2 linked regions of the Saccharomyces cerevisiae S288C genome follow. The protein of the gene in region 1 interacts with the protein of each later gene in a pairwise test. Each region holds a gene or a part of one and is shown on either strand. Other genes may lie near its edges.

What was found.
Region 2: the proteins of TEF4 (region 1) and BUD27 interact in binary tests that used the Saccharomyces cerevisiae proteins (3 or more experiments, as listed by UniProt).

The regions. Positions count from the first base shown.
Region 1 is NC_001143.9:280,639-284,961, reverse strand, and holds TEF4 (translation elongation factor EF1B gamma), read right to left. Parts: upstream 2,072-4,323; coding exon 1,867-2,071; intron 1,778-1,866; exon of another isoform or gene 1,683-1,777; intron 1,541-1,682; coding exon 507-1,540; downstream 1-506. Other genes in the region: ribosome biosynthesis protein RRP14, read left to right, coding at 2,633-3,937; HOT13 (Hot13p), read right to left, coding at 4,103-4,323. UniProt on the Saccharomyces cerevisiae protein: Subunit of the eukaryotic elongation factor 1 complex (eEF1). Probably plays a role in anchoring the complex to other cellular components.
Region 2 is NC_001138.5:88,810-94,014, reverse strand, and holds BUD27 (prefoldin-like protein), read right to left. Parts: upstream 3,030-5,205; coding exon 639-3,029; downstream 1-638. Other genes in the region: FRS2 (phenylalanine--tRNA ligase subunit alpha), read left to right, coding at 1-516; EPL1 (Epl1p), read left to right, coding at 3,670-5,205. UniProt on the Saccharomyces cerevisiae protein: Involved in gene expression controlled by TOR kinase and nutrient signaling. May also be involved in positioning the proximal bud pole signal.

The sequences.
Region 1 (4,323 bases):
CTATATACCTCCTTTGTTTGTGTTTCTAAAGCACTGTGACAAATCCTGCTTGAAAGCACATGATATCACCAGACGTGTTGCACTATCTTCAGTTCTATCCTAAATTGTTTTCCAGTCTTAAGATAAAATTCATTCCAGTTCGGGTAACATACACCGTTTATGACTGACGCTTCTCTTTACGGAAAATTGTTTTTTTCGCTATTGTTGCAAAAGTACAATGGAAAATGCCCCACTGAAACATGAAATAAGAAGAGAAGAATCAAGTTTATGCAAAATATTGTTAGAGTAACCGCAGCAGATTGTGATACTCAATTAGAGAGATTATTACAATATATATATATATAATGATTACATGGACGTTAATCGTTACATAGAATTAAACCACGCGTAAGTATGGGGTAATCATGAAGTAGACTTCAGGGTTTTTTTCTTTTTTCTTTTGAAAATTCGTTTTGTTTGACTCTTATGTATATTGGGAAGAAAATATGGAAGAAGAGTTATTGAGATTATTTCAAAACCTTACCGTCAACAATTTCCTTATCTTCGCCATTGACAACAACAGGCTTATCCCAAGCCCACATGTTGTTGACAAATTCTTTGTCTTCTTCCTTGGTTGGGTCCAACTTGGTGTATTCGTAAGATTCCCAGTCTGGAGCGACATCAAAGGCTGGAGCGAAATCTTGGCCTCTGACCATAACGGCACCAACAATACCATTATTGTTGTTTTCACCATAGACAACTAAACAACCGAACATGTACTTAGTAGAAGCGGACAATCTGTTGAAAAAACCACCGACCAAGTTGTTGGACATGAAAGTCAAGGTAAGTTCGTCGTTGTATTTGTAACCAACCTTCCAGATGGAGTATTCTTCAGGGTTGTAGTGTTCCCAGAACCATGGCAAAGCAACTGGTCTGGTGTCGTCGTTGGAGTACTTTCTCTTCCAGTCATCCAAGACAAATGTGGACTTTCCTAAAGCTTCCAATGGGTGCTTTGGCTTTTTAGCTGGAGCAGCATCATCTGCTGGCTTAGCTTCGTCCTTCTTCTTTTCAGCCTTTGACTTTTCGGCCTTTGGCTTTTCAGCCTTTTGCTTCTTTGGTGGAGTGTAGGTTAGAGCCTTTTCAGCCAATTTGACTTCAGCAAATGGAGTCTTCACGATTGGAGAAGCAGCAACAGTGTTGAACCATCTCATCAAATGAGGATGCTTAGCTCTCCATTCAGGGCCCAAAATAGTGGCCAAACCAAAAGCCCAAGAACCAGCGGCATGAAGGTCACCTAGAGAAATGTTTTCGGTAGCAACAAAGGTGTAGTCTCTCAATCTAGCATCGAAGACAGCAGCTAGGTTGTCGATTTTAACAAAACAAGCATCAACGTCTTTCTTGTTGTATGGAATCAAACCTTTGAAAGAAAGGAATGGACGAGCAATGTTGCTCATGACATCGGAATTAGCTAGAGATGCCCATCTAAGGATTTGAGACTTTTCGATAACGTCGGAACCTAATAAGCGAGCTCTTTCTTTTTCATCGGCAACTTGATTAGCCACTAAATATACATCATCTCGATGGTTATACAACCATTAATTGAAGAAATGTTAGTAAAACAATCCTTTATATTTTTTCCTGGATTAGGACACGCTTTGTACTTCCTTTTTGTTATTTTGACTTTCATTTTTCTTTAAGAAACATATCAGAAATACAAATATCAACATATGAGAGGTTACCTATTATTACCCATTCAGACAGGGATAACTGTTTGATAAAATTTTTTTTCATCATTATGTTTCGAAGAAAAATGACGTGCCAAATAAACGAACGGGAAACGCGCAAAACAATGTATGTGGAAGTGTTAAAATAAAATATGGAACATACAATAAAATTGGATAGCCAAAGCTTCAGTTAGCTTTAAGCCCTTTGGACCCAAAAATGCAGGGGCTTGCTTCAATGGGAACAAAGAAGCAAACTCGCTAGATTGTTCTAGATCAACGATCTTGACATCTAGTTTAAAGTAAGAAATCAAAGCTTCAGAAGCGTAGTTTCTTGGAGATCTATTAATGTATAAAGTACCTTGGGACATCTTGAATCTATCGAGGGCCAAAATCAAAGAATTGAGTTGGTATTAAGGATGGACACCAGTTTTGAACAAAATTAACGACGGAATGGATGAATTAAATATGAAAAAGAAAGTATTGCAAACTGTTGATGAAAAAAATTTTTCTTTCAATTTTGTCAGCAGCAGAGCGCATTACCCTGCCGGCCACATGCCGAATTAAATTAAATGAGGGCTGCTATTGCCAAATGTGATGGCTTGCCTACAGAGGTTAATTTCCCTTGTTTTGGGCTTCCTCTCTCAACACGATTGACACAAGCAATAGAGGCAAAGGTGTGTAATGAGTTCGTGTACCAATTAAAGTAAAGTAGAGTGGTTTAATTGGGATTACACGATTAAAAAGTTTCACCCAGACACCAAATTGAAAATTTTTTAAAATGAATTCTTTTTATTCTCATCTCCGGTAAAGAAAAGAGGAAAGTACAATAAAAGAGATGAGATGACCAAGAGATGAATAACAAGTGAGGACTGAGACGTTGTTGCAAGTGATAAAGAAAGTCCGGGAATTGAAAGATATAGGAGACTGAGATGAGTAATTCACTTGAGGAGCGCCTTCGTGCTAATTCAAGCGCCTTCGATGGTTTATTGGCTTTAATTCCTGCAAAATACTATTATGATGAAAAAAGTCAAGAGCAATGGAAGGCCAAGAAGAAAACCAAAGAACAGAGTAAAAATGATAAACTGAAAAAATTAGACCCGGAGCAACGTGATGATGAAACATCTAGTACATTAGAAGTAATGAAGAAGAAGGAGAAAGACGCAAAGCCGGTGGTCCTACCTGGTGAAAAATTCAAGCACATGAAAATGCAAAAGCAAAAGGAAGCAACATCAAAAGTGGAAGGAGACTCCGACCTGAACGTAGAAGTAAACGATCCTATGATAATAGCACCAGACGAAGATGAAGAAGAGGAAGAGGATATTAAGGTGATCTTTGATGATGAGGGAAATGAAATACCATTAGAATCTAAAAAAGATACTACAGAGCCCGATAGATCTGTCGAAAAGAAGTCTATTACAGAGGAAGAGAAACTACAAAGAAAGAAAAACTTGGAAGCACTACGTTCCAAGTTACAAGCGAAAATTTCAGATATGAAGAGTAAAAGGAAAGCACCCGGTTCTAGAGAGGCTATTCTTGCTCAAAGGAAACGCAAGGAAGAGTTGAAAAAAAGAAAGCGTCTAGAAAGTGAACAGGAACAGGATCAGGATGAAATTGCGTCTGATTCCGATATGGAAGACATCGATAGTGATTTAGAAAACAATTCGAAAAAAAGATTCAAAAAAGGCAAGAAGGACTCAGAAATTAACGCAGATGGTGTAATGTTTCAAAATATCATATTCGATGATGGTGCAAGGGCCACTTCAGATTTACAAAGGTTAAGAAAAGCTGGTAGAACGAAGGGTCCGGCTAAGAATGATGTAAAATCACACTTAAAGTTATTAGAAGCCAAGAAGAATAAGATGGAGGCGAAAGACGAACTAGAACAAATCAAGCAGAAGGAAAAGGAAAAATGGCAAAAGGCTATGTTACAAGCAGAAGGAATTAAGATTAGGGATGACGAAAAACTACTTCGCAAAGCTATAAAGAGAAAGGAAGCACAAAAGAGAAAGTCTGCGATTGAATGGAGCGAACGTAAGAGGGTTGTGGAAGACACGATATCTGAAAGACAAAAGAGAAGAGAAGAGAATCTGAGGATTAGGAAAGACAACAAGGGTAAAAAGAGAAATAAGCAAGAAAAGATGAAAAGAAAGTATGTCGGTAGTGCCGTACCAAAGAAAAGAGCCGGATTTGAGGGTAGATTAAAAACAGGTAAAAAGAAGGGAGGACCTAAATAATAATCACGATAATAATAACAACAATAATAGATATATATATATGTATGAACATATATATACAGATACATATATATATATATATATCTATATATATACCATCGCATTTTTTCCTTAACGAGAAGAGCACAGCAGAGCTTAAGATGGCATGCATTTATAGAACAACACTCAACACATAGCGGGGGGAGGGTTCTGGAAATACAAATGGTAGTGCAATTTACAGCCTGGATTAAAGGGGGATCTGCAATTGGGACAAATAAGGTTTGAATTGTAGTCGTAATACTCTGCAAACGTCATTTCATGACGGCAAACTCCGCAAATAATCAAGTGTTTATTTGCATCGTCAAGGAGATCATATTTTTCTAGCGGGTGAGAACTTAACTCTTGGT
Region 2 (5,205 bases), on another chromosome or scaffold:
ACAGCCATCTCTGCCAGAATGCTGCACGATTTGGCCAAAGATCCAAAGCCCACCAGATTGTTTTCTATCGACCGTGTTTTCCGTAACGAAGCAGTTGACGCCACCCATTTGGCCGAATTCCACCAGGTGGAAGGTGTTCTTGCCGACTACAACATTACTCTGGGTGACCTGATCAAGTTCATGGAAGAGTTTTTCGAAAGAATGGGTGTCACCGGTTTGAGATTCAAGCCTACCTACAATCCTTACACCGAGCCATCAATGGAAATCTTTTCTTGGCACGAAGGTTTGCAAAAATGGGTCGAAATCGGTAACTCTGGTATGTTCAGACCAGAAATGCTCGAGTCCATGGGTCTACCAAAGGATCTAAGAGTCCTTGGTTGGGGGTTATCCTTGGAAAGACCTACCATGATCAAATATAAGGTTCAAAACATCAGAGAACTGTTAGGTCATAAAGTCTCTTTGGACTTTATCGAAACCAATCCTGCTGCTAGATTGGACGAAGACTTGTACGAATAAGCTCAGCAGTTCCTCTAGTTTTATATCGTCTGTCCCCAATTTTGTAGTAGTTATTGTACACAAAACAAATATATACGTATATGTTAATATAGATTCTGATTTACTTTCTGTCTCCATATGGGTTATGGTTTACTGTCCATATGGAGCCGTTGAGAGCGGAAACGACTTGTCTTGACCGGGTTCCCGAACTTATCAATAGGCTCCAATTCGCCTTCAGTGTGTGCGGCGGGTGATGATGATTGCCATTTCGACGCGGTAGCTTCTTTCAACCGTCTGTACTCTATAGCAACCTCTTCCTGTAGCCGGCCCGGATGTAGTGCTACTTCGTCCTCGTCATTTGTGTAACTTTCAGGAAATTCATGCTCAATGATATCATTCATAACATTGCCATCATTTTCCTCCTCCTCCATCGTCACTGGCTTGTTTTCTAGTTGAAAGTCTCGAATTTCGTCACGCAGCAACTCCACCTGCTTATTGTATTCTTTGAAATCCTCGAGCTTTTCCACTATGGTTCCTGGATCTTCCTCTAAATCGTCGTCATATAACCCCAATGAATATGCCTTGACCATATCATCCAAGTTTCCACCTAGGGCGTGATAATCGACATTTGTAATTCTAACCGGCTCACTCCCTACTGTGGCGCCCGTCTTAGCCATCGACCTAGACACCTCTTGGATTTTTGAAGGAAATTTATCTTGCTCATCAGTGTTATTTTTACTTTTGTTGGACAAAAGTTTCTTATTACCATCGTCATCATCATCATAATCGTCATCACTTATATTTTCGAGAATTTTGGGATCAAATTTTTTTTTCATTGATTTCGATGATCTTGGTTTTTGCAGTGATTTTAGCTTTTTCTTTTTAAAAGGAGTCTCAAACTCGCTCTTGCTGTTAATTTCCGGTTCTTTTTCCACTATATCGTTGATAGTAGGTTCTTTTTCTATAATATCCCCCACAACAGGCTTCCTTTCCACTATATCGTTGACAGCAGGCTCCCTTTCCACTATATCGGTGACAGCAGGCTCTTTTTCTATAACATCCCCCACAACAGGTTCTTTTTCTATAACATCCCCCACAACAGGTTCTTTTTCTATAATATCCCCCACAACAGGCTCTTTTTCCACTACCTCGTTCTCCACTGACCTTGTCGTTTCCTGTTTGAAAGTTGATAACGTATTTTCTTTTTTAGAAGCTCTATCCTTCCGGAATCTGGACACCCTAGTTCTTCTATTCGACCTGCTTGCTTCCCCTTCAAGTCTCTCTTGATTTATCAGTTCCTCTTTATATTTTTCATGCACTTCATCGGCCTCTTGGACACCCAACATCTTAGCAAATAAATCACCATCAAACTCATCCGATGTCATTTTATTAGCGATACCTGTGCTTTCCTGGGTTTCATACATGGGCACCGCAAAGGATTGCATCTGCCTCTTGTTCTCTTCTTTCAAGTTTTCGACTTCGTGAATTTCTAGAGAAGATGCAAACCCGACTTGTTTCTTTTTCTGCTTTTTGTCTGAATTCTCAGCAAAAGAAGACTTTTTCAAAATAGGTTTTAATGATTTATTAACGTCACCTTCTTCCCTCTCATGATCTTGGGATTGCTTTTGTGCGCGTAGGCGTTGAATTTGTTGTAAAAATGAGGACTGCGCTTCAAAGCCAGGTATAATAGAATGATTTAGATACTCTTCTTCATCTTCGTCCTCGTCATCCTCTTCATAGTTATCATTGACTTTGAAATTGGAGTTTTCGAACGCATCATAATCATAATTTATTTCATCAGTTTCAATATAGCCGTCCTCCAATTCATCTTGTTGGTCCATCTGTTGGACCAAGTCGGCAAATGTATACACGTTTTCTGTATCTACTTTAGATGGCTGCACTTTTTTCTTTACTTCATCGTTCCTTTTCAATAACTTTCCTTTCAAGTTTTCTTCGAATGACTTTGATTTCTTCTCCTTTGCTAATCCTTTCTCCTTTGGACCGACTGCAGGTGTCTGTTCTTTTTTGGAATTCGATTGTGATGGTTGCTTTGTTGTAGGGGTAACGGAACTACTTATGACATTTCCCTCGTCATCTAGTTCTTCTCTAATCTCCATAGAGGGCAGAAAATCTTCGTCGTTGTTCGCTTCGTCTTCTTCAATTCCATTTCCGTCCTCCATGTGATTCAAGTTGTCTAAGGTCTTTTTAGCCTCTTCGATCTTCAGGTTAAATTGCTCAATGGCGTCCTCCATTAGTTTTAATTTATCATCAACAAACGTGATGGCCTCCTCTTTGGTCTTTTCAACGTAATACTCATAGCCTAGACTTAGATATATCTTACTCGTAGAAATTATGATATCACCAAACACCATCCCTTGGCCTTCGCCTTCTTCTTCGCCATCATCATTGTCATTGATAAATCTAACCAGTCGGCTTCTGATATCTATATAGTGCTCTCTTTGTTCCGAAAGAAAGTTTCTCTTATCTTGCAGATTTTTCAACGTACTTTCTACGCTGGCCGCTAACAAATCCATGGCTATTACAGTCTGAGGATACCTGTTTACTATAAAATTCTACAGAATATTCATACAACACTCTCTGTTAAAACCTTTAAGAGCAGCTCATCGCCTATCCTCCAAGGATAAATTTCAAAACACCCAAACATTAGGGTTACCCGTATATCGCTACTTCTTCCCATACTCGCTCACCATAGTTAGCACCCCATACCGCAGGAGTAAGCGAGAAACAAAGGGATAGAGGAAAAAAATTTTCTCCGTCGGCCGCGGGTGGCAAAAGCACGATCCGACCACAAAATTGTACTATTACATATCACATGGTATAGCATACAAGCAATACCTGTGAGAGGTTACTACACAAAAGCAAAAAAGTTTGCAAAAATCAGCCAAAACTGTGCTCGTATTCTGGTGGTCATTAGACACTCGCAATATTATTACACCACATCGCGTTCCTCTGAGCTGCTATAATAAAATAAACGCTATCTATTTTTGACTCCTCTTTTTGCCACCCTCGCCTTCCTTTTGTCCATATTCTCACATTGTACGGCAACTGCGGACTTCAGGTCAACATAAATAAAAATTGCACACGATAGGGTAACATTATAGTCACGTGCTTATAAAAACATTGTAATAACATTAGCAAATAACGATAATAACGATGCCGACACCTTCAAACGCTATAGAGATCAATGACGGTTCGCATAAATCTGGTAGAAGCACTAGGCGGTCTGGATCTAGGAGTGCGCACGATGACGGTCTAGATTCATTCTCAAAAGGCGATTCAGGTGCTGGAGCCAGTGCTGGTAGCAGTAATAGTCGATTTAGACATCGAAAAATATCTGTGAAGCAACATCTTAAGATATATCTGCCTAACGATCTGAAACACCTGGATAAAGATGAATTGCAACAGAGAGAGGTGGTTGAGATCGAAACTGGTGTAGAAAAAAATGAAGAAAAGGAGGTCCATTTGCATCGAATATTACAAATGGGTTCTGGTCATACAAAGCACAAAGACTATATTCCGACCCCGGATGCTTCTATGACTTGGAATGAATATGATAAGTTTTATACGGGCAGTTTCCAGGAGACCACCAGCTACATCAAATTTTCTGCCACTGTGGAGGATTGCTGTGGTACCAACTACAATATGGATGAAAGAGATGAGACCTTTTTAAATGAACAAGTCAACAAAGGTTCATCAGACATTTTAACTGAAGACGAATTTGAAATACTTTGTTCCAGTTTTGAACATGCTATTCACGAGCGTCAACCATTCTTGAGTATGGATCCGGAAAGTATACTTTCTTTTGAAGAATTGAAGCCCACATTAATAAAATCAGATATGGCTGATTTCAATCTAAGAAACCAGCTGAATCATGAAATAAATTCTCATAAAACACATTTTATCACACAATTCGACCCCGTATCTCAAATGAATACGAGACCTTTAATTCAGCTGATAGAGAAGTTCGGCTCTAAAATTTATGATTATTGGAGAGAAAGAAAAATTGAAGTTAACGGGTACGAAATTTTTCCGCAGCTGAAATTTGAAAGGCCGGGTGAAAAAGAAGAGATTGATCCCTACGTCTGTTTCAGAAGAAGAGAAGTGAGACATCCGCGGAAAACAAGACGTATAGATATCTTAAACAGTCAGCGTTTAAGGGCGTTGCATCAAGAATTGAAAAACGCGAAGGACTTGGCCCTGCTTGTTGCTAAACGTGAGAACGTTTCCCTAAATTGGATTAATGATGAATTAAAAATATTCGATCAAAGGGTAAAAATTAAGAATTTGAAAAGATCTTTGAACATTAGTGGAGAAGACGATGACTTGATTAACCACAAGAGAAAACGCCCCACGATTGTTACGGTCGAACAAAGGGAAGCTGAACTAAGGAAAGCTGAACTTAAGAGAGCAGCTGCTGCAGCAGCGGCAGCGAAGGCAAAGAACAATAAAAGGAATAACCAACTTGAAGACAAATCTTCTAGGCTCACCAAGCAGCAACAGCAGCAACTGTTACAGCAACAACAACAACAACAGCAAAATGCCCTTAAGACTGAAAACGGAAAGCAACTCGCGAATGCATCCTCTTCTTCAACATCACAGCCAATTACGTCTCATGTTTATGTCAAACTACCATCTTCCAAAATTCCTGACATTGTATTGGAAGACGTGGATGCTCTATTGAACAGCAAA